Callithrix jacchus: one gene and its partners. The protein of the gene in region 1 binds, or shares a complex with, the protein of each later gene. Links are inferred from orthologs where the notes say so. Each region holds a gene or a part of one and is shown in the gene's direction. Other genes may lie near its edges.

What was found.
Region 2: PRPF8 (region 1) and SART1 share a complex: the UniProt entries of both Homo sapiens proteins name them as parts of the U4/U6-U5 tri-snRNP complex. The link is inferred for Callithrix jacchus from reciprocal best matches to the Homo sapiens genes PRPF8 and SART1.
Region 3: PRPF8 (region 1) and CD2BP2 share a complex: the UniProt entries of both Homo sapiens proteins name them as parts of the U5 snRNP complex. The link is inferred for Callithrix jacchus from reciprocal best matches to the Homo sapiens genes PRPF8 and CD2BP2.
Region 4: PRPF8 (region 1) and LSM3 share a complex: the UniProt entries of both Homo sapiens proteins name them as parts of the U4/U6-U5 tri-snRNP complex. The link is inferred for Callithrix jacchus from reciprocal best matches to the Homo sapiens genes PRPF8 and LSM3.
Region 5: PRPF8 (region 1) and SNRNP40 share a complex: the UniProt entries of both Homo sapiens proteins name them as parts of the U4/U6-U5 tri-snRNP complex. The link is inferred for Callithrix jacchus from reciprocal best matches to the Homo sapiens genes PRPF8 and SNRNP40.
Region 6: PRPF8 (region 1) and LSM4 share a complex: the UniProt entries of both Homo sapiens proteins name them as parts of the U4/U6-U5 tri-snRNP complex. The link is inferred for Callithrix jacchus from reciprocal best matches to the Homo sapiens genes PRPF8 and LSM4.
Region 7: PRPF8 (region 1) and LSM8 share a complex: the UniProt entries of both Homo sapiens proteins name them as parts of the U4/U6-U5 tri-snRNP complex. The link is inferred for Callithrix jacchus from reciprocal best matches to the Homo sapiens genes PRPF8 and LSM8.

The regions. Positions count from the first base shown.
Region 1 is NC_133506.1:66,551,899-66,555,897, forward strand, and holds the start of PRPF8 (pre-mRNA-processing-splicing factor 8), read left to right. Parts: upstream 1-1,199; 5' UTR 1,200-1,266; intron 1,267-1,467; 5' UTR 1,468-1,477; coding exon 1,478-1,577; intron 1,578-2,360; coding exon 2,361-2,529; intron 2,530-3,493; coding exon 3,494-3,658; intron 3,659-3,742; coding exon 3,743-3,961; intron 3,962-3,999. UniProt on the Homo sapiens protein: Plays a role in pre-mRNA splicing as core component of precatalytic, catalytic and postcatalytic spliceosomal complexes, both of the predominant U2-type spliceosome and the minor U12-type spliceosome.
Region 2 is NC_133511.1:123,038,013-123,042,088, forward strand, and holds the start of SART1 (U4/U6.U5 tri-snRNP-associated protein 1), read left to right. Parts: upstream 1-1,276; 5' UTR 1,277-1,324; coding exon 1,325-1,637; intron 1,638-4,076. UniProt on the Homo sapiens protein: Plays a role in mRNA splicing as a component of the U4/U6-U5 tri-snRNP, one of the building blocks of the spliceosome. May also bind to DNA.
Region 3 is NC_133513.1:29,873,078-29,877,304, reverse strand, and holds the start of CD2BP2 (CD2 antigen cytoplasmic tail-binding protein 2), read left to right. Parts: upstream 1-1,427; 5' UTR 1,428-1,562; exon of another isoform or gene 1,563-1,669; intron 1,670-2,000; 5' UTR 2,001-2,027; coding exon 2,028-2,105; intron 2,106-2,697; coding exon 2,698-2,833; intron 2,834-2,959; coding exon 2,960-3,117; intron 3,118-3,219; coding exon 3,220-3,655; intron 3,656-3,734; coding exon 3,735-3,841; intron 3,842-3,926; coding exon 3,927-4,037; 3' UTR 4,038-4,227. UniProt on the Homo sapiens protein: Involved in pre-mRNA splicing as component of the U5 snRNP complex that is involved in spliceosome assembly.
Region 4 is NC_133516.1:71,157,652-71,161,748, forward strand, and holds the start of LSM3 (U6 snRNA-associated Sm-like protein LSm3), read left to right. Parts: upstream 1-1,297; 5' UTR 1,298-1,338; coding exon 1,339-1,359; intron 1,360-4,097. Other genes in the region: XPC (DNA repair protein complementing XP-C cells), read right to left, coding at 945-1,047. UniProt on the Homo sapiens protein: Plays a role in pre-mRNA splicing as component of the U4/U6-U5 tri-snRNP complex that is involved in spliceosome assembly, and as component of the precatalytic spliceosome (spliceosome B complex).
Region 5 is NC_133508.1:67,899,181-67,902,680, reverse strand, and holds part of SNRNP40 (U5 small nuclear ribonucleoprotein 40 kDa protein), read left to right. Parts: intron 1-1,328; coding exon 1,329-1,411; intron 1,412-2,611; coding exon 2,612-2,673; intron 2,674-3,500. UniProt on the Homo sapiens protein: Required for pre-mRNA splicing as component of the activated spliceosome. Component of the U5 small nuclear ribonucleoprotein (snRNP) complex and the U4/U6-U5 tri-snRNP complex, building blocks of the spliceosome.
Region 6 is NC_133523.1:17,038,834-17,042,907, reverse strand, and holds the start of LSM4 (U6 snRNA-associated Sm-like protein LSm4), read left to right. Parts: upstream 1-1,274; 5' UTR 1,275-1,336; coding exon 1,337-1,339; intron 1,340-4,074. UniProt on the Homo sapiens protein: Plays a role in pre-mRNA splicing as component of the U4/U6-U5 tri-snRNP complex that is involved in spliceosome assembly, and as component of the precatalytic spliceosome (spliceosome B complex).
Region 7 is NC_133512.1:88,800,361-88,804,628, forward strand, and holds the start of LSM8 (LSM8 homolog, U6 small nuclear RNA associated), read left to right. Parts: upstream 1-1,468; 5' UTR 1,469-1,613; coding exon 1,614-1,644; intron 1,645-4,268. UniProt on the Homo sapiens protein: Plays a role in pre-mRNA splicing as component of the U4/U6-U5 tri-snRNP complex that is involved in spliceosome assembly, and as component of the precatalytic spliceosome (spliceosome B complex).

The DNA.
Region 1 (3,999 bases):
CATGTTGGCCAGGATGGTCTCAGTCTCTTGACCTCGTGATCTGCCCACCTCGGCTTCCCAAAGTGCTGGGATTACAGGCGTGAGCCATCGCGCCCGGCGAATTTTTATATTTTTGGTAGAGACAGGGTTTTGCCATATTGACCAGGGTGGTCTCAACTCCTGATCTCTTTTTATTTTATTTTATTTATTTATTTATTTTGAGACGGAGTTTTGCTGTTGTTGCCCAGACCAGAATGCAATGGCACGATCTCGGCTCACCACAACCTCCGCCTTCTGGGTTCAAGCAATTCTCCTGCCTCAGCCTCCCGAGTAGCTGGGACTACAGGCACGCACCACCATGCCCAGCTAATTTTTGTATTTTTAGTAGATAGGGGTTTCACCATGTTGACCAGGATGATCTCAATATCTTAACCTCGTGATCCACCCACCTCAGCCTCCCAAAGTGCTGGGATTATAGGTGTGAGCCACCGCGCCCGGCCCTATTTATTTATTTACTTATTATTTTTTAGAGACGGTTTCTCCATGTTGGTCGGACTGGTCTCGAACTCCTGACCTCAGGTGATCCTCCCTCCTTGGCCTCTTAAAGTGCTGGGATTACAGGCGTGAACCACCGCCCCCGGCCTCGAACTCCCGGTTTCAAATGATCCACCCGCCTCAGTCTCCCAAAGTGCTAGGAGGACAGGCGTGAGCCACAGCGCCCGGGTGAAGTCTTGGTTCCTGTCTGCCTTTCTGCTCCCCCGTGAACGCCACTGGTTGTCTTTTTCCCTGCTGTGTCCAGCCCTTGGTACACAGGGGGCACTCAATAAAGAATGGTTGAATGAATGAACGCATGAACAAATGACTGTCCTGGAGCTAGCACTGCATTTCATGTCCACATTTATGAAAACAGACATCGTGCAGTGTGCAGTCTTGGCACAGTTATTAAAATCCTGTGGACTTTGGTCTCTCGCAGTCCGACGCCAGAAGCCTATCACACACACTGAGGGCTGCCGGGCGCCAGAAACAGCCTGGCAAACGCAGGAGGCGGGGCTTCACTCCGACCGCACCCCCTTGCGTTCAAGCTTTTCCGCCTGTAAGCCCGCCCCCTCGGCGCAGTATATAAACTCTAACTGGTCATCTCACTAATCCATCTGAGCATCTCGGCGCCGATTGGATCAACTGCTGAACTGGGGTTGCGCACTTCCTAGCGCTGGGATCGCGGAGCGGACGCAGGCTGGCCGCCATTGCGCTGTGGGGAAAGCGTTCCCCTGTGTGAGGGGCTGTGGGGTGCGTGGCAGGCGTTTAAGGCCGGGCTGCGGGAGGCGCGGTCGGGTCGGGCGGGGTGACCGGAGGGGATAGGCCGGGCCGGAGTGGATGCACTCGTAGTATGGCGGGAGTGTAGGCCGGGGGTCCCGGGCGCGTTTTTGCGGCGTTTCTTGTGGGCCCGGGCCTGTTGCTCCTTAATTTTTCTCTCCCGCCGCTCCGCAGATTCTCCGGGATGGCTGGAGTATTTCCTTACCGAGGGCCGGGTAACCCGGTGCCCGGCCCACTCGCCCCGCTGCCGGACTACATGTCGGAGGAGAAACTGCAGGAGAAAGGTGAGGCGAGACTAGAGCGGGGCGCGGGCAGGGTGCGCTCCCAGGCGGGGTGGGACTCCCCCCCGCGTTTGGGCAGCTCATTAGGTGTCAGCTCCCTAGATGCCCCTTTGAATTTTTTATCTAGTCAAGTCATTTTAAGCGCGTGTTATTTGCAGGCGTTGATCCAGCGGGGATACAATAGTGATGGAGACAAAATTCCTGTCCTGGGGTTCAAATTATTGTCTGTGGGAGACAATTATCCTGCGGGAGAGAGGGAGAGAGAATGAAAAGACCTTGAAGATCTGTTATAAAAATGTTAGGCCGGGTGCGGTGGCTGACTCCTCTAATCCCAGCACTTTGGGAGGCCGAGGTGGGTGGATCACCTGAGGTCACGAGTTCGAGACCAGCCTGGTCAACATGGCGAAACCCCGTCTCTACCAAAACCACAAAAATCAGCCAGCTGTGGTGGCGCGTGTCTGTAATGCCAGCTACTCCGGAGGCTGAGGCACAACAATCGCTTGAACCTGGCAGGGGGAGGTTGCAGTGAGTGACATCCTGCCACTGTACTCCAGCCTGGGCAACAGAGCAAAACAACTTCTCAAGATAAATAAATAGTGTCAGCTAGTGATAAATGTGATGAAGGGAGAAATAGAGTAAAATGGTAAGGGAATTGGCAAGGAGTGCTTCTTCCTGCCGGATGCCTGCTTCTCCCTCACATACACTGACAGAAACTTACCTTAGGGCAAGGGGTGAAGATGATTAGGTTGAGGGTGTGCAGTCCTTTAAACTGAGGTGCCTTTGTAGCTCGAAAATGGCAGCAATTGCAGGCCAAGCGCTATGCAGAAAAGCGGAAGTTTGGGTTTGTGGATGCCCAGAAGGAAGACATGCCCCCAGAACATGTCAGGAAGATCATTCGAGACCATGGAGACATGACCAACAGGAAGTTCCGCCATGACAAAAGGGTTTACTTGGGGTAAGGAACACCTTGAAACAATTTCACTTGGAGTTTGGCCCTTTTGCCTTCTCCCTGTCCCAGTTTGCATCCTTGGATAGATGTGCTGTCATTTGGAGTAGGACTCTGCTTTGACAACTCATCTTGGTGGATATGAGAAAGGAGAAAACCAGTAGGATTCTCTGATAATTTCTGCATCTTCCACTTATGCAGTCTTTCTCCCTTCTCTTCCTGATTTGGGCCTGGTGCTTTCATTTGTCCTGTTATTGCTGTTGTAAAACACTCCTGTCATTGAACTGGCTGAAGCCCAGAGTGGGATACTATGTACAGTGGCCGCCAGACACTACTCAGGGACCTGAATTCTGTGTTCGGGGTATTTAACTTCAGAGGTATCCCTACTCCTGATTTTCTGAGGCTCTAAACTGGATGAGTACAGGTACAGATGTCTTAATAGATCCTTGTTCTATTTGGACACAAAAATGTTTACTGTGTAATTAACTGGAAGATTTGTTTATTTAAAAAAAAAAGTACTTTTTTTTTGAGAACTGTGCTGGGTGCTGGGGATCTAGGAGTGAGTAGACAGTACCAGTCTCCGCCTTTGTGCAGTGTGTGGTCTAGTGGCATGACAGACAGGTGACAACTAGTTATAGTGAAGCATGGTGAATGTTTTTTTATTCTTGTGAGAAGATGCGGAGAGAATAGAATTTGAGACAGCCTCAAAGCTGTCTTCGGAGGGACAGCCGTTGATTTAGGGGAGCTGAGACCAGCATTGCAGGACTGTGAAGTTTAAGAAGAGTGTTAACCAGATGAAGTTGGAAAGGCAGAGGCAGGGTTTCTGGTTATGAAGAGCCTGTATGCTAAGCTTGGGCATTTGGATTGTAAGGTAGCATTTACTGCGGAACATGAACTCGTGGCTTCTCTGCAGGGGACAGGCAGCAGAATACCATGTCATTTCTGATAGCCTTGTCTTTTTCTGATACGGCAGTGCCCTGAAGTACATGCCCCATGCGGTCCTCAAGCTTCTGGAGAACATGCCTATGCCTTGGGAGCAGATCCGGGACGTGCCTGTGCTGTACCACATCACTGGAGCCATTTCTTTCGTCAATGAGATTCCCTGGGTCATCGAACCTGTCTACATCTCCCAGTGGGGGTGAGAAGACTGAACTAGGGTGTGCGGTGGTGGCGGTGGCTGGGAGGCAGTGGGTGAATGGTTATGTGACGTTCTTGCCTTCAGGTCAATGTGGATTATGATGCGTCGAGAAAAGAGAGATAGGAGGCATTTCAAGAGGATGCGTTTTCCCCCTTTTGATGATGAGGAGCCGCCCTTGGACTATGCTGACAACATCCTAGATGTTGAGCCCTTGGAGGCCATTCAGCTGGAGCTGGACCCCGAGGAGGATGCCCCTGTGTTGGACTGGTTCTATGACCACCAGCCATTAAGGGACAGCAGGAAGTGAGTGCCAGATGGAGATGCTGCTCCTGAGAGGAGCT
Region 2 (4,076 bases), on another chromosome or scaffold:
CAAAGAGCAAGAACTGTGACTTCTCCACCCCATCCTCAATGTGTATGCTGGGTCCTAGAAATTCAAGCGTGAATAAGATGGAACGACTCCCGCCTCTGAGGATGCCCAGTCAGTGGGAGGGGGGGTGGACCCTCAGAGGGGTGCATACAACATACCCTAACACAGACTGACTGTGCCACACAGGGAGCCACAGTCTTAGTAACCGTTGGGTGGGGGGAGGGGTTTCAGGAGGGAATGTGTGCATTGGTCTTTTTAAGTTCCAGTAGTTTTAAGTTAGGGATCCTCTCCTCAAGAAAAAAAATCATACACACAGATGTGCCATATTTTGCATTCAATTTCAGGGGTTCCACGGACACACTGACACCCATGTGGAGCTCCTTAACAGTTCACACGTTTAAAAAACCCAATCCAGGGCCAGGCAGAGTGGCACACACCTGTAATCTCGGCACTTGGGAGGCCAAGGCGGGTGAATCGCTTGAGCTCAGGACCAGCCTGGACAACATAGTGAGACCCCCGCCCCCATATCTATAAAAAAATACACAAATTAGAGGGGCGTGGTAGCGTGCACTTGCAGTCCCAGCTACTGGGAAAGCTGAGGTGGGAGGATCACTTGAGCCCGGGAGGTCAAGGCTGCCGTGCACGGTGATGGCGCCACTGCACTCCAACCTGAGGAACAGAGTGAGATCCTATCTCAAGAGAAAAACAACCCGGGGGACGTGGGAAGGCAGCGTTCCCTGAGGATACTGGTTCTAGGGAGTCGGAAGCTGGGCTATGCAATTGGGGACCTCGGGAAAACAACACCCGTTGGAGCCACGACCCCAGGAGTCCAGGAAGCGAGCGCCCACTGTAGGAGGGAGGTGTCCACGGAGACCGTGAGGTAGTGAACACCACGTTGCCGGGGAAGTACAAGCGCAGGGAGGCCAAGGAGGAACTTCCAGCCTCGAAGACACTGGCTTAAGGTGTCTGAACACATTTGATAGTGTTCAGTAAAGTTATTTGCTGTTTGTGTGGTGGGTGGAGCAGGTCTAACTCCTTCCAGTTTTGGGATCCCATCTCCGGGGTTAATTCCGCGTCCCTTGAGGAGCGCATGCGCAACAGGACCACCTGCTCACAGAACCCACTGGACCCAAGACCGCGCGAATGCGCAGTGGAGCCCTGATCCTAGCCTTCCCATGAGCCTCTGGGGCAGGCTCCAAGGCGAGCGGCGGAAGCAGCCGCTCTTAGTTTCCCGCAACACGACAGCGGCTGCCGAGCGACCCGGAAGTGTTCCCATTTTGCGTTGTCTGGGCTCGGCAGCGGCCGGGCTTGGGGCTGACGCGCTACTATGGGGTCGTCCAAGAAGCACCGCGGAGAGAAAGAGGCGGCCGGGACGACGGCGGCGGCCGGGACCGGTGGGGCCACCGAGCAGCCGCCGCGGCACCGGGAGCACAAAAAACACAAGCACCGGAGTAGCGGCAGTGGCGGTAGCGGCGGCGAACGACGGAAGCGGAGCCGGGAACGTGGAGGCGAGCGCGGGAGTGGGCGGCGCGGGGCCGAAGCTGAGGCCCGGAGCAGCACGCACGGGCGGGAGCGCAGCCAGGCAGAGCCCTCAGAGCGGCGCGTGAAGCGGGAGAAGCGCGACGACGGCTATGAGGCCGGTGAGGAGGCGGGACCTGCTCAGGGGGCGGGGCGGGCAGGGGTCCCGGAGCGGGCGGGTCTGGGTGTGCGCGCAGTGGCTGCGAAGCTCTCCAGGCCGGGAAACCCCCAGACTGTCTACGTTAACTCCTATTAAATAGTTTTTCTACGGCACCTCTCGAGCCCAAGAGTTAGAGGCTGCAGTGAGCTGCAATCGCGCCAGTTGCACTCCAGTCTGGTCAAGAAAGCGAGACTGTCTCAAAAAAAAGTATTTTCTATGGTTGATTAGGATTAGAGATTGACTTTCTCCACCTAGCTCCTTGAGGACAGAGGGCTTCTGTTTTCCTCAGTTGTCTGGTACAATTACAGATCCTCAATAAATGTGTTGAATGAATGAATGAAGTAGTATCAGCGTATGCAGAGGCGAGAGAAACCTGGTATTGGAAGAATCGTGTAGGGCTCATGGTAGTGAAATGAGGGAGTAAGATAAAGATAGTTAGGGATGTGAACACAAAGGACCGTGTACCGTAGGTTCCGTTAAGAAATATAGATTGTCTTGAGGTTGGTAGGGAGCCATGGATGTGAGTTGAGGAGTGAGTTGCTCAGATCCATATTTTGTAAACATTGCTGGATTGAGAACTTAGTCAAAGGTAGTCAGGATTGGAGACCAGGAAATCAGGACTGCTAGAGACCACATGAGGGCCGATGGTAGCCTGCACCAATGCAGCAGCAGTGGGATGGAGAGAAGTGGACAGGTTGGAGAGGTGTTTTGGAGGAGGAATGAACAGAACTCAGCACTTGTATGAGACTGGGAAGGAAAAGGCATTGAGAATGATTCCTTGAATTTTGACTTGAGCAGCCAGATGAGTTGTGGGTGTCATCTCTACTGAAACTGAGGAGCAGAGAAGAGAAGCAGATTTGGAGGGGGATGGATAATTGGGGTTGTGGAGCTTGATGTGCATGTGAAAAGCCAGAGTTTGGACTGGATAAAGCCACTGGGAGTCAGTATCTGGGTGGCCAGTGAAGCTTGTAGGGCTGATGGCCCACAGGGTGTGCCTTATGCTGTGCTGAGGCGCAGGATCCAAGGAATAAAGAGACAGGACAGGCCGGGCACGGTGGCTCAAGCCTGTAATCCCAGCACTTTGGGAGGCCGAGGCGGGTGGATCCGGAGGTCAACAGATCGAGACCATCCTGGTCAACATGGTGAAACCCCGTCTCTACTAAAAATACAAAAAATTAGCTGGGCATGGTGGCGCATGCCTGTAATCCCAGCTACTCGGGAGGCTGAGGCAGGAGAATTGCCTGAACCCAGGAGGCGGAGGTTGCGGTGAGCTGAGATCGCGCCATTGCACTCCAGCCTGGGTAACAGGAGCGAAACTCCGTCTCAAAAAAATAAAAAAGAGACAGGACACAGAAGTACAGGGAAAATGCAGCTGGGCTCGAGGGGCCACGCCCCTATGAGTGGAGTCAGGTGAGGCCCCAAATGTCCAGAAGCGTGAGTGTTTGTTGTGTTTAGGTTAGGGGGCAGGGCAGTGAGTGAAGTCATCTTTAAGGATAGTGATAGGGTCGTGAGCAATAAAACAAGGGGTCCACCCCATTAGGTCACCTAGGCTGGGAGGTGGACAGTGTGCAGCAAGGCGTCCATTCCCATTAGGTCATCAAGGCAAGGGCCGTGTGCAGTAAGGGGTCCACCCCCATTAGGTCACTGAGGTATGGAGGTGGGCCATGTGCAGTGAAGAGGGTGCAGTGTGCAATACCTCTATCTATGGGTAAGCTACTAAGAAGATTTATAGGAGGATGCTTTAAGTCACATAGCAGTGACAGAGCTGTCAGGGTCTATGCCACCTGCTGGCAGCTTCCAATAAGTTCTATAGAGGAATGCTTTTCGAGCAGCACAGTAACAAGAGCTGATAAAGTTCACAGTCACCAAGGTGTGATTGCCGGTCTGAGGGCAGCCTTCCACAGGAACTGGTGCAAGGTCCTACAACTCCTTTATCAGGAGGAGTGGCTCTTGCCCCAAGCCTGCCATACAGCGGGTATCTATAATACTGAATGCTGCTGCCTAGGCCATGGATTCTTGCCCTGGTATAACATTTTTCCCTTAAATCATGCGGTGCTCTGTGTCTGCTCTAGGCATTCCTCCGATTATAAGCTGCTTATTCCTTAATTCATGCTCTGTACTGTATCTACTCTAGGCATTCCTCTGATTATAAACTTAGATATAGTTTTAATATATATGAAAATAACTGAGTGGTAAGATATTCTTTAGGCACTCATTCTATGAACTAATGTGTGATCATATAGAGAGGATTGTACAAAGGGAAATAACTGAGTAGTAACACTGTAAACAGATACTCTCCAAGCCCTAATTCTATAAACTAATATATAATCATATAAAGGATTATATAAAAAGAAATAACTGAGTAGTAACACTATAAACTGAGGTATTCTCCAGGGCTTAA
Region 3 (4,227 bases), on another chromosome or scaffold:
GGACACATGACTACCCGTGTGTCCTAAAGGGTGCTGTGTTCAGAAAGTGCCCGGAGAGCCATCCAGGGGCCCCAGGTTGGCCATCTGGTCATCAGGAGAGCCAGGCTCCCCCTTGGGAGGGCAAGGCTGCATTTCTCTGGCTAGGAGAGCTGACCACAGGACCACAGGAGTGGGAAGACATGATTTCTTTCTTTTTTTTTTTTGAGACGAGTCTCACTTTGTCGCCCAGGCTGGAGTGCAATGACGCGATCTCAGCTCACTGCAACCTCCGCCTTCCGGGTTCAAGCAATTCTCCTGTCTTAGCCTCCCGAGTAGCTGGGATTACAGGCTCATGCCGCCATGTCCGGCTAAATTTTTGTATTTTTAGTAGAGACGGGTTTCACCGTATTCCCCAGGCTGGTCTTGAACTCCTGAGCTCAGGCAATCCACCCGCCTCGGCCTCTCAAAGCGCTAGGATCACAGGCGTGTGCCACCGTGCCCAGCCCGAAAGCAGGATTCCTTTTTTTTTTTTTTTTGAGGTTGCCCAGGCTGGAGTGCAGTGGCGCAATCTCGGCTCACCGCATGCAACCTCCGCCTCCCGGGTGCTTGCAATTCTCCTGCCTCAGCCTCCCGAGTAGCTGGGACTAGAGGCGTATGCCGCCACGCCCGGCTAATTTTTTTGTAGTTTAGGAGAGACGAGGTTTCTTTTCTTTTCTTTTTTCTTTTGAGACGGAGTTTCGCTCTTGTTACCCAGGCTGGAGTGCAGTGGCGCGATCTTGGCTCACCGCAACCTCCGCCTCCTGGGTTCAAGCAATTCTCCCGCCTCAGCCTCCCGAGTAGCTGGGACTACAGCCGCGCACCACCATGCCCAGCTAATTTTTTGTGTATTTTTAGTAGAGACGGGGTTTCACCATGTTGACCAGGATGGTCTCGATCTCTTGACCTCGTGATCCACCCGCCTCGGCCTCCCAAAGTGCTGGGATTACAGGCGTGAGCCACGGCGCCCGGCCGAAGGCAGGATTTCTAGCGACACGGTAGGGGCGCAGAACCCTTCCCTGGGGGAAGGGTTACTCGAACCCAGGACAGGAAGACAAGAAAGCAATCCAGTGGCTCTGCTCAGACTTTGCTCCTAAATCCTGACACTGAGCGACCCTTTAAGTAGATGCGCTCCACTTTTTCTCCAGAGCCTCTACGGCTCAATGAGAGAATCAAAGCTACTTCCGGCCATTTCTCACGCCGGGTTAGAGTCTAGGAATTCTTAAGTCTCCTCTTTTCGCCACTTTCCTCCCACGCGACTGACGTCACTTCTGGCGTAAGAAAGGGTGGAGGTGTCTTCCCTCGCTCATCGCGTACTTCCGCCCGCTCTTCCAGTTGGTCCTCTGGCCGGAGTGAAGCCACTTCCGGCCTCCCCGGCGCATTCCTCAGTCCTCTTCCGGGTGATGGCGGCCGGGTGCCCCGGATGTAGCCCTGGCGCAAGCATCTCTTCTTTGCCGCCTCACCTCCAGCGGATCCCCAGGTGAGCGCGCGAGCGTGGGACCATCCGAATCCCCGTGGCCCTCTACTTTGTACGCAGCCCGGGACAGGTGGAGCTCACCACACGGAATTGGGAGTTCGGAGCAGGGAGGAACGGGGCGGCGAGGGCGCCAGGTCCTGGGTCCGCCCGGGCCCCGCGAGCTCCGAGAGAGCCTGGGTAGGAGGCGGGGGTCAGCCCGTCGAGCCTGGTGGTACCCAGACTGCGGGGGCTGGGTTTGGAGGTGGTCACATGGTGGAGCCTGTCTCCTTTTGGCCGGGGTCGGGGGATCCAGAGGGATTGCCCCTCCGTCCCCGCCCCATTTAATTCGAGGATGCCAGACCGAGTACCAGAGGCCTTCTGGCTTCCAGCTCCCTTTCCGCCCCTGCTTTTGTGCTCCCTTCCCTCTCAAACTGTACTTGTCACCAAGAAAAATGTTTGCTGTGCCGGGAATCCTCTGGCGGCGAGTCCCCTCCTCACCCCGTTCTCTTCCTCTGCATACTTTCCTCAGCTTGAGGAACACCTTCTCTGCCCTGTCATGCCAAAGAGGAAAGTGACCTTCCAAGGCGTGGGAGATGAAGAGGACGAGGATGATATCAGTGTCCCCAAGAAGAAGGTGAGGGGACCAAACTTCTTTGTGTGGGGGGAAAGAGAGGAGCTAGAAGCCTGAGGAGGAAGAAAGTTGGGAGGGGCAAGGCGGGCTGGCAGAGAAAAGCCTAGTTTTTCCAGGTTCACTGAGGAATGGATTGGGAGCATCTTCAGTGTGGGTCCTGAAATATTTGGGGAAGTAGGGCTGGGCACGGTGGCCCACGCTTGTAATCCCAGCACTTTGGAAGGCCAAGGCAGGCAGATCACCTGAGGTCGGGAGTTGAAGACCAGCCTGGCTAACCTGGTGAAACCCCATTTCTACTAAAAGTACTAAAAATTAGCCGGGTGGTGGTGGGCACCTGTCCCAATTAGTTGGGAGGCTGATGTGGGGGAATCCCTTGAACACAGGAGCCGGAGGTTGCAGTGAGCTGAGATCAGCCATTGCACTCCAGCTTGGGCAACAAGAGTGAACTCTGTCTCAAAGAAAAAAAAAAAAAGAAATATCTAGGGAAGCAGTTGAGATCCTGAAATATTTGGGGAGTATTTGGGTCCAGATCTGGCAGTATTTGGGGAGGTAGCCAGTAACCTGCATTTCTTGACTTCCTGGCTCCTGCTCACAGCTGGTGGACCCTGTGGCTGGGTCAGGGGGTCCTGGGAGCCGCTTCAAAGGCAAACACTCTTTGGACAGCGATGAGGAGGATGATGACGATGGGGGGTCCAGCAAATATGACATCTTGTCCTCAGAGGATGTAGAAGGTGAGCTGTACTCAAGAATACACTCTACTGAAGGAAAAAGTAGAGACCTCTGGTGGTGTGAGGTGAGGGAGGCCCCGGTCTCTTTTTTTTCATCCCCAGCAAAGGACACCCCTGTCTTTGGTGCAGGTCAGGAGGCAGCCACACTCCCCAGCGAGGGGGGTGTGCGGATCACACCTTTTAACCTGCAGGAGGAGATGGAGGAAGGCCATTTCGATGCCGATGGCAACTACTTCCTGAACCGGGATGCTCAGATCCGAGACAGCTGGCTGGACAACATTGACTGGGTGTGGCCAAGGGGCTGGCATGGCTGGGGCCAGGGAGTGGCAGAGCTGCTGCCTGCTCCCGTGGCAGTTTGTGGGAAATCACTCCCCTTCTTCCCATTACAGGTGAAGATCCGGGAGCGGCCACCTGGCCAGCGCCAGACCTCAGACTCGGAGGAGGAGGATGGCTTGGGCCAGACCCCAATGAGTGCCCAAGCTCTCTTGGAGGGACTTTTGGAGCTCCTGTTGCCTAGAGAAACAGTGGCTGGGGCACTGAGGCGTCTGGGGGCCCGAGGAGGAGGCAAAGGGAGCAGCAAGGGGCCCGGACGACCCAATTCCCCACAGCGCCTGGACCGGCTCTCTGGGTTGGCCGACCAGATGGTGGCCCGGGGCAACCTTGGCGTGTACCAGGAAACTCGGGAACGGTTGGCCATGAGGCTGAAGGGTTTGGGGTGCCAGACCCTGGGACCCCACAATCCCACACCCCCACCCTCCCTGGACATGTTTGCTGAGGAAGTGGCGGAGGGGGAACTGGAGACCCCAACCCCTACCCAGAAAGGAGGTGAGCTTGGAGGACACAGGAGGAGGCACTGGGCAGGAGGCAGACACTGGAGGCCAAATGGCTTTGCCTGTTATTTTAGAAGCAGAGTCGCCGGGAGATGGTCTGGTGGATGTGATGTGGGAATATAAGTGGGAGAACACAGGGGATGCCGAGCTGTATGGACCCTTCACCAGCGCCCAGATGCAGGTGAGCCGCTTTCTTCCTCCTTCTGCCTTGTCCCTGCTTCCCCAACTCCTGTCAGTCCTTCCCCAGCTCTGCCCTCTCCTTGCAGACCTGGGTGAGCGAAGGCTACTTCCCGGACGGTGTTTATTGCCGGAAGTTGGACCCCCCTGGTGGTCAGTTCTACAACTCCAAACGCATTGACTTTGACCTCTATACCTGAGCCTGCTGGGGGCCCAGTTTGGTGGGCCCTTCTTTCCTGGACTTTGTGGAGGAGACCCCCAAGTGTCTCAGGCAGTGAGGAAATTGGAGGCCATTTTTCAGTCAATTTCCCTTTTCCAATAAAAGCCTTTAGTTGTGTATTAGGGCCTTCGCTGTGCTGATGGCCGGAAGCCAGAGGTCTTCTCCACAGC
Region 4 (4,097 bases), on another chromosome or scaffold:
GGCCAATAAGGTGGGTATCTGGCAAGGAAACAAGTGGTAGGAGAAACAGGAGAGGTAGCAAGAGCCAAAACATGTAGCATCTTGCAGGCCAGGTTAAGCCAACTGGATTTTAAGCTAAGAGCAATGGGAAGCCAAGGAGAGTTTAAAATAGGAACACGGCATGATTAAAAAAAGAAAAAAAAGATTATTTGGGTTGCTGGATGGAGAACTGGGAGGCCAATAAAGAGGAAACTGCAGTCACTCAACTGAAAGGTGATGGTGGCTTGGACAGGGGCCATGGCCATGGAAATGAAGTGGACAAATTTAAGATACAGTCCGAGGCTGAACTGACTGGATTTGCTGATGGACTGATGTGTGCACATAAGAAAAAGGCAGGCTTTGCTTTATAACAAGTACTGAGACTGGAAAAACGGAGGAAAGGATAGATTTAAAGGGGAAAACCATGAGCTCCGCTTTGCCTGTGACAAACATAAGAAGCCTATCCGATATTCACGTGGGGAAGTCAGGTGGGATCCCACTGTGGAACTCCGGGTGAGACTCCGCTTAAGTGACCATTCGGGAGTCACCACACTGCATCACTCTACGTCCTGGTCCGTCTGTCTGCCTTCCTGGGACCCAAATAACTGCCTTCTCCACTTTCAGCCCTGAGCATCTGCGCTGTATCCTCTGGGCAACCCGGAGCGGAAAAACGCTACGCATGAGCTTGGGTCGGGCGAGGCTCCCGAGGAATCGCTCTGCGTGCGGAGGACAAAGGGACAGGGACAGAGCGGAGGGCCGGACGCGGCCTGCCGAGCTGCTCCCGCGGCCGCCGTCACGTCCCCGCGGCGTGGAAGACGCGCAGTAAACTGCATCCTGTCTCCACGTCTGGCCTCCCACCCCAGCCTCCCGGCCTCCTCCGCCCTGCTGCGGCGTCTCCCGCTAAGCCCGCTGGGCCTCGCTCTCACCCTCCTCCTCCTCCTCACGCCGGGCCTTGCTCTTGCCCTTGGACTTCTGGCTGCGCGGTTGGCGTCCCCGCGGCTCCCCGCCGGCCGCGCGCTTCCGAGCCATGTTGTTCTTCGGGGCAAAATCCACTTCGTGAGTGACGCACCTGGCCGCTGTGCACCAGAGCGCGGGCTCCGCCCACAGGCGGGCGCGTCTAGCCCTGTCCCTTAGTTGGAGGCCTAGCCACGCCCCCGAAGGAAGCTCCGGCGATACCCGTGGCCACCAAAAACCACAGGAAGCAGGAAGGAGAAAAACAGATTTCTCTCTACTTCCGGTGTATTATATCCTCCTGTTTCCGGAGATCCGCGTTGCTCTTGTGTTCTCGCGAGAAGCGGGAAAGAGCGCAGGGTTTGAAACATGGCGGACGACGTAGACCAGGTGAGTGTACTTTAAGGGGGTCGCTTCGAGCAGCTTCGCGTACTAGGGCTGGTTTTCCCAAACTTAGGAAAAATGGCCAGTCGTGTCTCCTCCTTCCAGGTCACCATGGTCCAATCCGCCCCGTCCTTTCCGTAACCGCCCCCTGCTCCGAATTTTGCTGCAGGCCCTGAGATCTTTTCCGGTTAGAAGCCCACCTGACTACTATTCATCACACTCTTCAATTCATTTTTTTAAATCTGTAAATTATTATCCTTGCCTGCCTCACGGAGCTGTTAGGATTCCAATAGAAAGCCTGATGATGAAGTTAGAAGTTCATATCATTACTGAGCGCAACCATTATTTATTCATTTAGCATATTTAGTGAAATTCAGCTTTGTATGGTTAGACACTATTCTAAGGGCCAGGGACACTGACATCGACATAGAAGTGATCCCTGCCATTACTTGGAGCTTATATTCGTGAGGAGAACAGATAAAAGTAAATATAAATATGTAGGAGACATAGGAACTGTGATGTGATGTGAAGGAAACAAGGAACTAGTTTGCAGAATAACAGATGGCCCTAGAAGCTTTTTCACCTTGTCTTTCTCTTCCTCAAATATCTTTGGAGATCAAGCCACAAATTCTTAAGCTTTCTACTGAAATCTCACCTCCTCAGAGAGGACTTCTCCTGCGCCAGTAGCACACGCTTTACTCTTCTTACCCTGCTTCATTTTTCTTCAGAGCGCATTATTATTTCGTATTAAATATATGCATCTGTTTTTAATGTATAACCCTTCCCACTAGAATTTAAGTGCCATAAGAGCAGGTTTTTTGTTTTGTTCTTTCTTCTGTCCTTAGGGTTTAGAACAGTGCTGGAAACACTCAACAAATATTTACTTAATGAGGCCTCTTTGAAAAGTCAATATTTAAAGCTACAGTGGGCATCGTAGACAGAGGCTTAGGTAGCAGTAGGGTTCTGTCGTGTGCATATTTTGACAGTATTTAATTATTTATTTGTATGCCTCTCCACATTACAATGAGCTCCTTGAGAGTGGAGATTGTGACTTCTATATCGTTATAATCTAACAGTTGGTTATCTGATCCTTTAACAAACACCTGTTGAACTAGGGAAGTAGGGATCAGTCGAGTCAGGGTTTTGTTTTTTCTCTCATCTGACCTTTTGAAGCTTTAGAGCCTGTTGCATTCAGTCACCTTCCTCCACTGGCCTCATGTACTTAATGAAGATCTACTTGAATAGTCTTTCTCTTAATGGCTGCAACCATTCGACCCCAAGTCATCCTAGCCCTGACCTCTAAAACCGACGTTTCCAGCAGTTCTTTAATAATACTAATAGGAACCATTTCTTTTCTTTTTCCTTTTTTTTTTTTTTGGACAGAATCTCACTCTGTCATCCAGGCTGGAGTGCAGTGGCACAATAGATCTCAGCTCACAGCAACTTCCACCTCCTCAAGCGATTCTCCTATCTCAGCCTCCCGAGTAGTTGGGACTACAGGCGCGTGCCACCATGCCTGGCTAATTTTTCTGGTTTTTTTTTTTTTTTTTTTTTTTTTTTGAGACGGAGTTTCGCTCTTGTTACCCAGGCTGGAGTGCAATGGCGCGATCTCAGCTCACCGCAACCTCCGCCTCCTGGGATCAGGCAATTCTCCTGCCTCAGCCTCCCGAGTAGCTGGGAATACAGGCACGCGCCACCATGCCTGTAAGTTTTTGTATTTTTAGTAGAGACGGGGTTTCACCATGTTGACCAGAATGGTCTCAATCTCTTGACCTCGTGATCCACCCGCCTCGGCCTCCCAAAGTGCTGGGATTACAGGCGTGAGCCACCGCTCCCGGCCAATTTTTCTGTTTTTAGTAGAGATGGGGTTTCGCCATGTTGGCCAGGCTGGTCTCAACTCCTGACCTCAGGTGATCCGCCTGTCTCAGCCTCCCAAAGTACTGGGATTCAGGCGTGAGCCACCATGCCCAGCCAGTAGGAACCGTTTATTACTATTTTCTGTTTACCTGGCACTGTTGTAAATACATTAACTACTTTAAACTTCTCAAGAACCCAGAAGGAAGGTTGTGGCCTCCTCAATTACAAATGAAGAATCAGAATTACAGATGGCATGATTTTTAATCTTAGTTCATTAGAGTCAGGTCACAGCCAGGAGTTGAACCCAGACTGCCTGACTCCAAAACCAGTGCTTTCTTTTTTCAAGACAGAGTCTCACTCTGTTGCCAAAGCTGGAGTGCAGTAGCACGATCTTGGCTCACTGCAACCTCCGACTCCTAGGCTCAAGCCATCCTCCCCCCTCAGCCTCTGAATAGCTGGGACCACAGGCATGTGCCACTGTGCCTGGCTAAGCCAGTGCTTTCAACCAGCGTTTTATACTGTCTACTAAATATATTCATCTTACTGGCCAGTTGGCAGCCTAAACTCAACCTGTGCTAAATTCATAATCTTCCCATTAACCTACACCTCTACTTAGCATTCTGACTAGTGTATGGTAGACATTGAGTGAGTGTTTTTCCAACGATTACATAATATTTGAGATAAAGCTAAAGTCCCTGAGAGCCCATACCCTGAAATTGGGTCAGGCAGTTTGATTTTGAGGGAACAAAGAATAGTCATGATTATTTTGCTGTGTAACTCCTTTTTGTGTATGTGTGTTTTAACCTACATTTATGTAGCACATATTATATGAAAGGCACTGTTCTAAGCCGTCATAGATATCACTTAAGCCTCACAACAACAGTATT
Region 5 (3,500 bases), on another chromosome or scaffold:
GCCACCCACTCCAGCCTGAGCAACAAGAGTGAAACTCCATCTCAAAAATAAATAGGCTGGGCGCAGTGGCTCACGCTTGTAATCCCAGCACTTTGGGAGGCCAAGGTGGGCAGATCACAAGATCAGGAGTTTGAGACCCAGCCTGTCCAATATGTGAAACCCCATTTCTACTAAAAAATTCAAAAATTAACTGGGTATGGTGGCACATGCCTCTAGTCCCAGCTACCTGGGAGTCTGAGGCAGGAAAATTGCCTGAACCCTGGAGGCGGAGGTTGCAGTGAGCTGAGATCGTGTAGCTGCACTCCAGCCTGGGTGACGGAGTAAGACCCCATCTCAAAAAAAAATAAAAATAAATAAAATAGTATTATTTTAAAAAGAACGGGTAATTTTCTCTTCATTTTACAGAGCAAGAAAACCAAGACACAAACAGTCTCACTGTTTACCTGATGTCACCCAGATATCCAACAGAGCTAGACTTAGAATCAGTATTTACTTTTTCTGATTTTTGGTATGGTGTAATACTCTTGATTTGTTTGACTTTGTTTTGTTTTGTTTTGTTTTTAGATGGAGTTTTGCTCTTGTTACCGAGGCTGGAGTACAATGGCAAAATATTGCTGACCGCAAACTCTGCCTCCCAGGTTCAAGCGATTCTTCTGCCTCATCCTCCCAAGTAGCTGGGATTATAGGCATGAGCTAACACGCCTGGCTAATTTTGTATTTCTGGTAGACACGGGATTTCTCCATATTGGTCAGGCTGGTCTTGAACTCCTGACCTCAGGTGATCCACCTGCCTCAGCCTCCCAAAGTGCTAAGATTACAGGCATGAGCCACTGAGCCCAGCGACTTTTTATATATTTTATATATATTTGACCTTGTTCAGTTTGAGACTGTCAGGTGCCCATATGAGGGAAATTAGGAAAGGGCAATATAAATTTGGTTTTGATAAGTTCATTATCATAGTAGTTCATGGTATTTAGTTTGTCTTATTGAAGCTTTGCTGGATGTGACTCTAAGCTGGCAGAGGACTCTTTTGCAAAATATCTTTGAAATTAGTATCACAGCCAGCTGCATTCTGTTGCAAATTACCAGCGTTGTGAGTGACATTCTTCCTTCCTGCCTCCTCAGCTAGCCCCAGTTATTGGAATTTAGATGTATTTTCCTGCTTGAAAAAGAAAAGAGGCTTAACAGGTAGCAGTGTGTCATACTGGACTTCCCCATCCTGGAAACAGCATCTGTCATAAACATGATACTAATTTCATTTGGGTGCTCAGGAGGTCTCTGGCTGTTAGTTATTTTGGTTGGTTTGTTTATTTGGATTTGTTTTGCAGTTCGTGTCTGGGATGTCCGGCCATTTGCCCCCAAAGAGAGGTGTGTAAAGATATTTCAAGGAAATGTGCACAACTTTGAAAAGGTGAGTTCTGCATGGCAGGGGAGTTTTACTGTTCATTTAATTCAAAGAAACATTTCAGGTGATACTAAGGATAGAGAGCAGTAGCTCTGCTGAGAATGGACTTCATTCCAGTAACACTGCTCTTAATCAAAACTGTTGCTGCCAAAAATAAAACTAATAGAAATATTCATGATTGGGAAGAAGCCAGTCACATAGCTCAAAAGTAATGGAGCCAGCTCTCAAACTGAGGGCATCTGACTTCACACCACCTTCAACACGACACTCTTGGCCTTTTAATTACTTGGGAATTCTACCCTCTTAAATCAGTTTTCCATATGGAACCCAAGCTCCCATAGCTGTTAAGAAGGTCTCCCTCACCTGCCTCCCTACCCCATGACCAGGTATGTTTGAACCCTAAGAATACATCTCTCCCCTCAGTACCTACCACAGCCCAAGTTCTGAGAGACAGAATTTTTTCAGACCCTCAAATTTAAAGGTCAGCTCTATTGAAAGAAGCTTTTACTCTCAGAGAATTTGTTAATAGAAATTAACGTTTTCCTTTTGAGAGCTCATTGGGATTCAGTTTCACTGTACAAATCAAATTTTATTTTTTAGACCTGGCATGGTGGCTCACAGTTGTAATCCCAGTACTTTGGAAAGCCAAGGCAGGAGGCCAGGAGTTAGAGACCAGCCAGGACAACGTAATGAGACCCTGTCTCTACAAAAAATAAAAAATCTGCTTGTGATGGCATGTGCCTGTAGTCTCAGCTGTCTGGGAGGCTGAAGTGGGAGTATCACTTGGGCCCAGGAGGTCAAAACTTAAGTGAGCTATGATTGTGCCACTGCACTCCAACCTGTACAATAGAGCAAGACCCAGTCTCAAAAAAAAAAAAAAATTATTTGTTGGGTTTGCTTTTATTCAAGATAAATAGGAAAAAAGAATAATGAATATCAAGATAAAGGGAGCCTCTATTTATAAGTAGAACAAAATTTTGTTGCCAGGTTCAATATAATTAATTGTAAGTTAAACATTTTCTACAGTTTTTATACGGTGTAAAATAACAAAGTATGCTATTGGAGGCCATAGAATATAAGATAACGATCTTCCTGAGAAAAACAATTAAAACTCTACTTAGGAAATTTAAAGCCTCTCAGTGATTCTGTAGCCTTGCAAAGAGGAGTTTGGTATATTACTATTCAGTGGATTCTTATTTATCATAGAACCTTCTGAGATGTTCTTGGTCACCTGATGGAAGTAAAATAGCAGCTGGCTCAGCCGACAGGTAAGGATTACTGGATGCAAAGTAAAAAATGATGTAGCTGGGCCAGGCTCGGTGGCTCACGCCTGTAATCCAAGCACTTTGGAGGCCAAGGCCGGCGATAACACCTGAGGTTAGGAGTTCAAAACCAGCCTGACCAACATGGTGAAACCCTGTTGGTTTCATCTTTAAAAAAAAAAAGATGATGTAGCTGGCCAGGCACGGTGGCTCACAGCTGTAATCCCAGCACTTTGGGAGGCCAAGGTGGATGGATTACTTGAGGTCAGGAGTTTGAGACCAGTCTGACCAACATGGAGAAACCCATCTCTTCTAAAAATACAAAGTTAGCTGGGCGTTGTGGAGCATGCCTGTAATCCCAGCTACTTGGGAGGCTGAGGCAGGAGAATCACTTGAACCTGGGAGACGGAGGTTGCACCATGCACTCCAGCCTGGGCAACAAGAGTGAGACTCCATCTTAAAAAAAAAAAAAAAAAAAAAGAAAAAAAAAATGATGTAGCTATGGAGGATGTCTTCTTGTGTTTCATGCATAAAACATGGATATGGAGCTAGAGCAGACATAGAGTTATGACTGCTTGAAGATGAAGCTCTGTGTGGCATGAAAGGTTTCGAAGCTATGTTGGACAAACAACATTTCTACTCATTTTGGAGACATTTTAGACCTAGAGGATCAACAATTTGTTTGGTTCTGTTGGGTTCCCTAAGTCTCATAATCTGTCTCTGGTCTCCCTCACCACATTTCTTCTGCCATGCTTCGGTTCATTTGGTTACATATTAAGAACCCACCTCCCCCACCATCACCACAGTGCTGCTCACATGGAATTCTCATATTC
Region 6 (4,074 bases), on another chromosome or scaffold:
CGGAGCGAGCCAGCTCCACTGACAGCCTCAGTTCAGAATCTGGTCTCCTGAACTGTGAGAAAATCACGTTCTGTTGTTTTAAACCTCTCAGTTTGCAGGCGTTTGTTACAGCCCCAGGAAACAACAGCATTTGCCTATTTACTTTGTTTACTGTCTCCCTGAGAGCCACGAATTTTGTGTTTTGTTCATTTCTGTGAGCAGAAGCAGGCACAAAGTATATTGTTAAGTACTTAATATGCGCCAGACCTGTTTTTGTTTGTTTTGAGACAGAGTTTCGCTAGTTGCTCAGGCTGGAGTACAATGGCGTGATCCTTTGCCTCCTGGGTTCAGGCTGGAGTACAATGGCGTGATCCTTTGCCTCCTGGGTTCAAGCGATTCTGGGATTACACCACTGCCGGCTAATTTTATTTTTTTGTTTTTTGTTTTTTTTGAGACGGAGTTTCGCTCTTGTTACCCAGGCTGGAGTGCAATGGCCGATCTCGGCTCACGGCAACCTCCGTCTCCTGGGTTCAGGCAATTCTCCTGCCTCAGCCTCCCAAGTAGTTGAGATTACAGGCACGCGCCACCATGCCCAGCTAATTTTTTTTGTATTTTCAGTAGAGACGGGGTTTCACCTTGTTGACCAGGATGGTCTCGATCTCTTGACCTCGTGATCCACCCGCCTCGGTCTCCCAAAGTGCTGGGATTACAGGCGTGAGCCATCGCGCCCGATCGCCAGGCGCTGTTTTAAGTGCTTTTTACATAGTTTCACTCATTTCATCCTCACAGCAAGCAACCTTTTGGAGCAGACACTACTATTATAACCCATTTTACAGCAAACTGAGGCTCCGAGGGGCGTGGTCAGGATTCCAACCCACTAAATGATGTTCCTGGATAATTACAGAATTAGAAAACTAGGAGTCCGAAGGGCGACCTGAGGGACGTCCCAATCACCACGAGACCTCGCTGTCTCTAAGACTGCAAACGAAAGGCATTAACTGGCTTTGCCCACAGCGTGGAGCCCGAGACCGACGGCTTCACCTGCGCATGCGCTTACCCACAAAACACCCCGCGCCTGGGCGCGTTGCTCCGCCCCCTTTTGCATTACAAGTCGCGACACTTTACGGCTCTATTCCTCGTTCCTCCGGCGGGAACGCGGCCCGCCCGCCCCTTTCGCCCAGAGGGCCCCGCCGTGTTCCGCGTGGATTGGTTGGCCGCCCTTCGAGCCCAGTGCTGACTGGCTCGCGTGTCTGCCACTTTCTTTCAGCCTAGTGGCGCGCGGCGCTGCGACGACCGCCGGGAGCGTGTGCAGCGGCGGTGGCGGAAGTGGCCGGCGAGCCCGGTCCCCGCCGGCACCATGGTGAGGGCAGGGCAACGGCGGGGTCTCATCGGGAGGCGGGAGCCGCAGGCGTTGGGAGCCCTCCGGGCGGGCGCTGACGGTTGGGTTGGCGCGGGGTGAACGTAGAGTCAGAGCCTCGCGTTCCGTCTCCCGGCACGAGGCTGGGAAACTGAGGCTGGAGACTGCAGATGGCTCTAGGACGTCTGTGTCTGAGATTTAGGGTTGCACGGGCTTGTATCCGTAGTACAGCGGGCTCGCTTTACTTAGTTTTTCCCATTTTTTCCCCTCAGGTGGGGAAACTGAGGTCAAAAAAGGTGGGGGCCCGCCAAATGCAAGTTTTTGGGCAGGGAAGGGGCCCCGAACGCTTCGGGCCCGGTCAGACCTCCCAGATTGAAAATTAGAGTGCTGGGAAGTAGGGGGCCAGTCTGAGTTGTGAAACTTAGCTTTAGGAATTTCAGAGCTTGCAAGATGCATAAAATGCTCGCAGCACAGCGTCCTAGGCCTGTTGTTTTCTGTCTGAAAATCGGGCCTGGTGCTGGGGTGTGGTCTTTCTCCTTGGGTCACATAGCATGTCATTCCAGGGGAAGGGGGCATTTTGAGCAGGAGTGGATAAAGTGCATCCTCCCAATACACAGAAGGAAAAACTGAGGCCCAGGTCTCTGCAGGGCCAGATGTTTGTGATTATGGAAGTTCTGGATCTGGGCCAGAAAGTGCCCGTGTCCTCAATGTGCAGATCGGAAAACGAAGTCGGAGCTGGGAATTTCCTGGCCCATCAGCATCTGGCGCTTCTTTTTTCAGGGAGAGAAATCTAGGCCTTTGTTGGGGATGTGACTTCCAGACTCTGTGAGACAGTGGGAGATTTAGTAACCAGGAGGGACCCACAGGGGTGGCTGCATCAGAGCTGAGGATTAGTAAGAGATGCTCCCTAAATCCTGGGGTCAGTGTGTAACCACCCAGTGGGTTCACTTAGCCTGCTTCCTAGACAGAGCCGATTTATCAAGACAGGGGAATTGCAATGGAGAAAGCAATTCACACAGAGCCAGCTCTGCAGGAGACTGGAGTTTCACTCTTGTTGCCCAGGCTGGAGTGCAGTGGCACAATCTTGGCTCACTGCAACCTCTGCCTCCCGAGTTCAAGCTTTTCTCCTGCCTCAGCCTCCTGAGTAGCTGGGATTACAGGCGTCAACCACACCATGTCCGACCAATTTTTTTGTATTTTTAGTAGAGACAGGGTTTCACCATGTTGGCCAGGCTGGTCTGGAACTCCTGAACTCAGGTGATCCACCCACCTCAGCCTCCTGAAAGTTCTGGGATTACAGGGTGAGCCACTGTACCCAGCCTAGGGGATCCGAGTTTTTAAGATGATTTGGTCGGTAGGGGCTCAGGAAGTGGGGGGTGCTGATTGGCTGGAGCTTCCTGAGGTTGGAGATGGAGTCCTGAGGAGGTCGAAGTGAGATTTTCTTGCTGTCTTCTGTTCCTGGGTGGGATTCTGTCCGTGGGTGGGATTGCGGGACTGGTTGAGCCACATTACTCGTCTGGGTGGTGTCAGCGGATCCACCTAGTACAGGGTCTGCAAAAATATCTCAAGCACTGATCTTAGATTTTTATAATAGTGATGTTATCCCCAGGAGCAATTTGGGGAGGTTCAGACTCTTGAGCCAGAGGCTTCGTGACCCCTAAACGATAATTTCTAATCTTGCAGCTTGTCAGTCCTCCAAAGGCTGACTGGTCCCCAGGTAAGAAGAGGGTGTTTTCTGGAAAAAGCTATTACCAATCTTGTCTCAGAGTCAAACTATAGACTGAATTTCTTCCCAAGGTTAGTTCGGCCTATGCCCAGGAAAGAGCAAGGACAGCTTAAAGGTTACAAGCAAGATGGAGTTGCTTAGGTCTGATCTCTTTTTGCTGTCATAATTTCCTCAGGTACAGTTGTTGCGAAGGCGGTTTCAAGTGCAACAATTCAGAGAAGGGAGCCGGCCCCTCCTGCTGTGTCCCCGAGGGCAGAGTTGGAAGGGTCCATCCTGTGACAAGTTTTATGGAAGCAGGATCTTCATTTTTCTTCCCTCTATTATTCCCACTGTGTAGAACGGTGCGTGGGCAAAGTTAGAACTCATTCATTCAGCCCGTCCCCACCTTCTGAACATCCAGAGTCCCCAAGTCCTGGCTATCCAGGCGTTTCCTGGAGGAGTGGCCAAGAATGGACGAGGCGGGCCAGGTGGAGTGGCTCATGCCTGTAATCCTAGCACTTTGGGATGCCGAGGTGGGTGGATCACCTGAGGTCGGCCAACATGGAGACACCCCGTCTCTACTAAAAATACAAAATTAGCCTGGAGTGGTGGGATTACATGCTTGTAATCCCAGCTACTTGGGAGACTGAGGTAGGAGAATCACTTAAACCCAGGAGGTGGAGGTTGCAGTGAGCCTAGATTGTGCCACTGCACTCCAGCCTGGGCAACAAGAGTGAAACTCCGTCTCAGGGGAAAACAAAAAGAATGGACAAGGCCTCATGGGATACACACTTCCAGTTCCCTGTGGTCAGGGTAGGACTAGGAGTGACCTGGGTTAGCAGCCGGGGAGGGCAGTCCTGGAAAGCTTCTGGAATTAGGAGCCACTGGATTTAGTCCTCATGGGTCTAAACCTGAGAACCAGACTCCAGGTGTTCCAAGAAAGCGCAGAGAAAGGAATTCTCTTTTCTGAATTTTCTTGTGATCTTCCCTGAGCCAGGTGATGGGGCCGCTCCCATCACACTTGGCACTTTTT
Region 7 (4,268 bases), on another chromosome or scaffold:
TGTAGTTTCACTCTTGTCACCCAGGCTGGAGTGCAATGGTGTGAGTCGCAGCAACCTCCGCCTCCCGGGTTAAAGCCATTCTTCTGCCTTAGCCTCCCGAATAGCTGGGATTACAGGTGTACCACCATGAGCAGCAATTTCTTTTTTTTTCTTTTTCTTTTTTTTTTAACAAAACTCCTTACTAATACCTAGTTAATCATTAATTAGTTTATGGGTTTTGGTTCAACCCCTAACATTTGCAAATCACACAATTATCTCCATTCTGTCACTTATGGAAGCCAGTTTCATTTGTTACCCTGAGAATATGAGACATTCACAATCCAATTCCTGACTACACTTGATTTCAAACAGATCGGAATAAGTTCCAGAATATAAAATATTAACTATTTGGTAGTCATCTTGCAGGTATTTTGTGGGTATGCTCTAATTAAGAAATGCTTCCTTTTCCGAGGAAAACTGCTGAGGTTGCAAGAGTGATTCCAAAACCACAATTCTTAAGAAATCACAAGTTTAACTGAAATCATAAAGATATTTTGTAAAAAAAAGAAATCACTCCTGCTGGTGTTTTATGTATAAACCTTTTTCTAACTTCCAGCTCTCTCATGTTAGGGCACCACAGTAAATAACGTATAGGCACAGTGGCATTTTCTAGTATCATGTCTGGAAATATCTTAAACGGCACCTATAGCAGCATCTAGGGAAACTGAGGCCCAAAAGAGTTGATGTGACTCGTGCAATGACACCAATTTGCTAGCAGAGCCAAGATAAGAACCAAGTTTGGTACTTTTCTGCATCAGTCCTTTCTCGGTGCTGCAGGAGCCTTTTACTTACTAATTTAACCCTAGGGAAGGGTAGACCATCGTGGCATGGTAGAAGCGTGGATATTCATTTTCTAAGGAATGATCACACACCTTTGTCTATTTGCATTTAGTTTCTTTAAAAAGTAACAGCACCTCTATTTGGGAGTGCTTTTAGAAACAAAAGCAGAACATACGAACGTGCTTTTCATTGATGATTTACACTGTGCCGTTATAACGTGCGCAACTTTGTCCCGGGCAACTGGACTTATTTTTAGTGTTATTTTCATCTCCTGCTGCAGAAAACTAGAGATTCCCCTACCCGCACCTGCATTTCACACAACAGTACTTGTCTCTTCTCCTCCTTCACTCCTAATAAAAACACCTTATCCCGTTTCTTCCTGTCTGCTCTGCCTCGTCTCAGCAGTCTTACTTATTAACTTCCACCACACTGAAAGAAAACGCACCCTCTCACCCTCACTCTTACGCCACCTTCAGGAAGCTTCTTCCTTTTCCGTCTCTCGCTCGCTTTTGTCTGCCTCTAGGTCACTTTTGTCTCGCGCGGTTTCCGGAACACGGCCCGGAACTACAGCGAAAACACACTGCGTACGCGCGCTCTATCTTCGCCGCTGTGCGGCTTCTGTTTGATTGGCCAGTTCATTACAATTTCCGATTCGGGGGCAGCTGCGCGGCAGCAGGTCTCGCGACATTGCTGCGGCCCGGCAAGCGCAGGCCACAGCAGGGTTCTAGCGCGCCCATTCAGTTCCGCCTGCCGCCGGCACCGGTGTGTTACCCGGAACTGCCGGGCAGAGCAGCATGACGTCCGCCTTGGAGAACTACATCAACCGTATCCTCAAGGTTGCCGCCGCGGGCGTGAGCCGGGGTTACGGAGACACAGCCAGTCAGGATCGGTGGGAGGTTGGGAGACCCGACCGCGGCGGGATCTTGGGGGCGGGCGAGGGGAAGAGGACCCCGGAACGACCCATAGTTTACCGGCGGCTGCTGGAGCCTGCAGCTGCTGCGGGCCCAGGGGTCCTTTCCTTGTCGCCTGCAAAAGCCGGATAAAAACCCAGTGTGATTATTCCGAACTTTTCTCTCTTGAAAAAAAAAAAAAAAAAAAATACGTTCTTGATTCTTTACTATTTCCATAAGACTTACGTGTTCAGGTTTATAAATAAGATGAACAGTCGTCCGGGCGGCGACAGCAGTTTTAAAAATCTTTGTCTTGTTTTATTCATATAATTTGCTCATTAGTTTGAGGATAGCAAAAAGTTTAACGATGGTTCACAGACCAGGTTTCAGTCCCTTTACCACTTGAAGTCTCAACTTATTGGTAGAATGAAAAAAATGCTTGCTGTTGTATTGGATTGTAGTGAGCAGTAAGTAACAAAAAACCGCATGGGAAGTCTTAAAATAGACTTTGCAAGTGTTACCGTTTTAAAGTCTCAGGACAGAAGCACGACATTGTGCTCATGTACAAACTGGATGACAAATTAAATACCGAATGCTTTTAATCATGTGGGCATTATTGGTATCTTGTGACACTGATTATATAGTTTGTTTGCTTTTTTAATTAAAGAAGACTGTCCTGGAAGACAGTTTTTTAACATGCTTGAAAATGGTCCAACACAGATTAATTTAGTAGTCATTCAGTTTTCATTTTAGAAATGAAGAAATAGACCTTAGAAACAAAATATCCTGCCCAAAAATCATAATTGGCAGCATTCCTGATAGAAAAGTGTCAAAAACCCAGGATTTTTTTTTTTTAGTTCTGTAGTCTCTTTATTTTATTTACTTTATTTTTATTTTTAAAGAAGAAAAGAAAGAGAAAAAAGGAGTGAAGGAGAAGAAGAAAGAGGAAGAAAAAAAGGGAGAGAAAACAGGAATATTGCTTTATTCTAAAAAATGGGTATTAATAATGGCTGGTCAATATTTTGTGTATTTAAAGTGAAGAATGTATATTTTGTGTATTTAAAATGGAGAGCTCTATAAATATTGATTAAGTTTACTTGTTCCAGATCTGTGTTCAAGTCCTGGCTGCCCTCATCAATTTTCTGTCTCGTTGAGTCTAAATCTCTTTATAGGTCTTATGTATCTGGGTGTTAGGATCGTTAGCTGTTATTGTTACATTGATCCTTTTACCACTATATCTTTGTTGCTTTGAAATCTATTTTATCAGACGTGAGAATTGCAACTCCTGCTTTTTATTTATTTATTTATTTTTGCTCTCCATTTGGTTGGTAAATCTTTCTCCATCCCTTTGTTTTGAGTCTTTGTGTATCTTTGGATGTGAAATGGGTCTGGATGTAGCATACCATTAGGTTTTGGCTGTATCTTTTGATTGGGGGATTTAGTCGACTTAAATTTAGGGTTACTGCCATTTGATGTTAACTGGCTATTTTATCCATTCGTTGATGTAAATTCTTCTTTATGTTGATGCTCTTTACTTTTTTGGTATATTTTTAGAAAGGCTAATACTGGTTGTCCCTTTCTATGTATAATGCTTCTTTCAGAAGCTCTTGTAAAGCAGGCCTGATGGTAATAAAATCTCTGAGTACTTGCTTGTTCAAAAAAGATTTTATTTTTCCTTCAATTGTGAAGCTTAGTTTCTCAGAATATGAAATTCTGGGCTGAAAGTTCTGTTCTTTAAGGATGTTGAATATAGGCCCCCACTCTCTTCTGGCTTGTAGGGTTTCTGCTGAGAAATCTGCTGTAAGTCTAATAGGCTTCCCTTTGTGGGTGACCTGACCTTTCTCTCTGGCTGCCCTTAGTATTTTCGTCTTTGTTTCAACCTTGGTGAATCTAACAATTATGTGCCTTGGGGTTGCTCTTCTTGAGGAATATCTTTGTGGTGTTCTCTGTATTACCTGGGGTTGAATATTGTCCTGCTTTGCTAGATTGGGAAAGTTTTCCTGAATAATATCCTGAAGAATATTTTCCAGCTTGGATTCATTCTCTTCGTCGTATTCAGGTACATCTATCAAACGTAGATTAGGTCTTTTCACATAGTCCCATATTTCTTGGAGACTTTACTCTTCCTTTTTATCCTTTTTTCTCTATTCTTGTCTTCTCATTTTATTTCATTAAGTAGGTCTTTGACCTCTGATATCCTTTCTTCTGCTTGATCAATTCAGCTATTCAAACTTGTGCATATTTCGCTAAGTTTTCGTGTTGTATTTTTTAACTCCGTTACTTCATTTATATTCCTCTGTATATTGTCTATTCTTGTTAGCATTTCGTCAAACCTTTTTTCAAAGTTTTTAGTTTCTTTACATTGGGTTAGAACAAGTTCTTTTAACTCCCAGAAGTTTCTTATCATCCACCTTCTGAAGCCTACTTCTGTTAATGGCACACAGTCCTTTTCCATCAGGGCTTGTTCTGTTGCTGATGAGAAACTGTAATCTCCTGTAGAGGAAGAGGTGTTCTGATTTTGGGTATTCTCAGCCTTTTTAAGCTGGTTTCTTCCCTTTG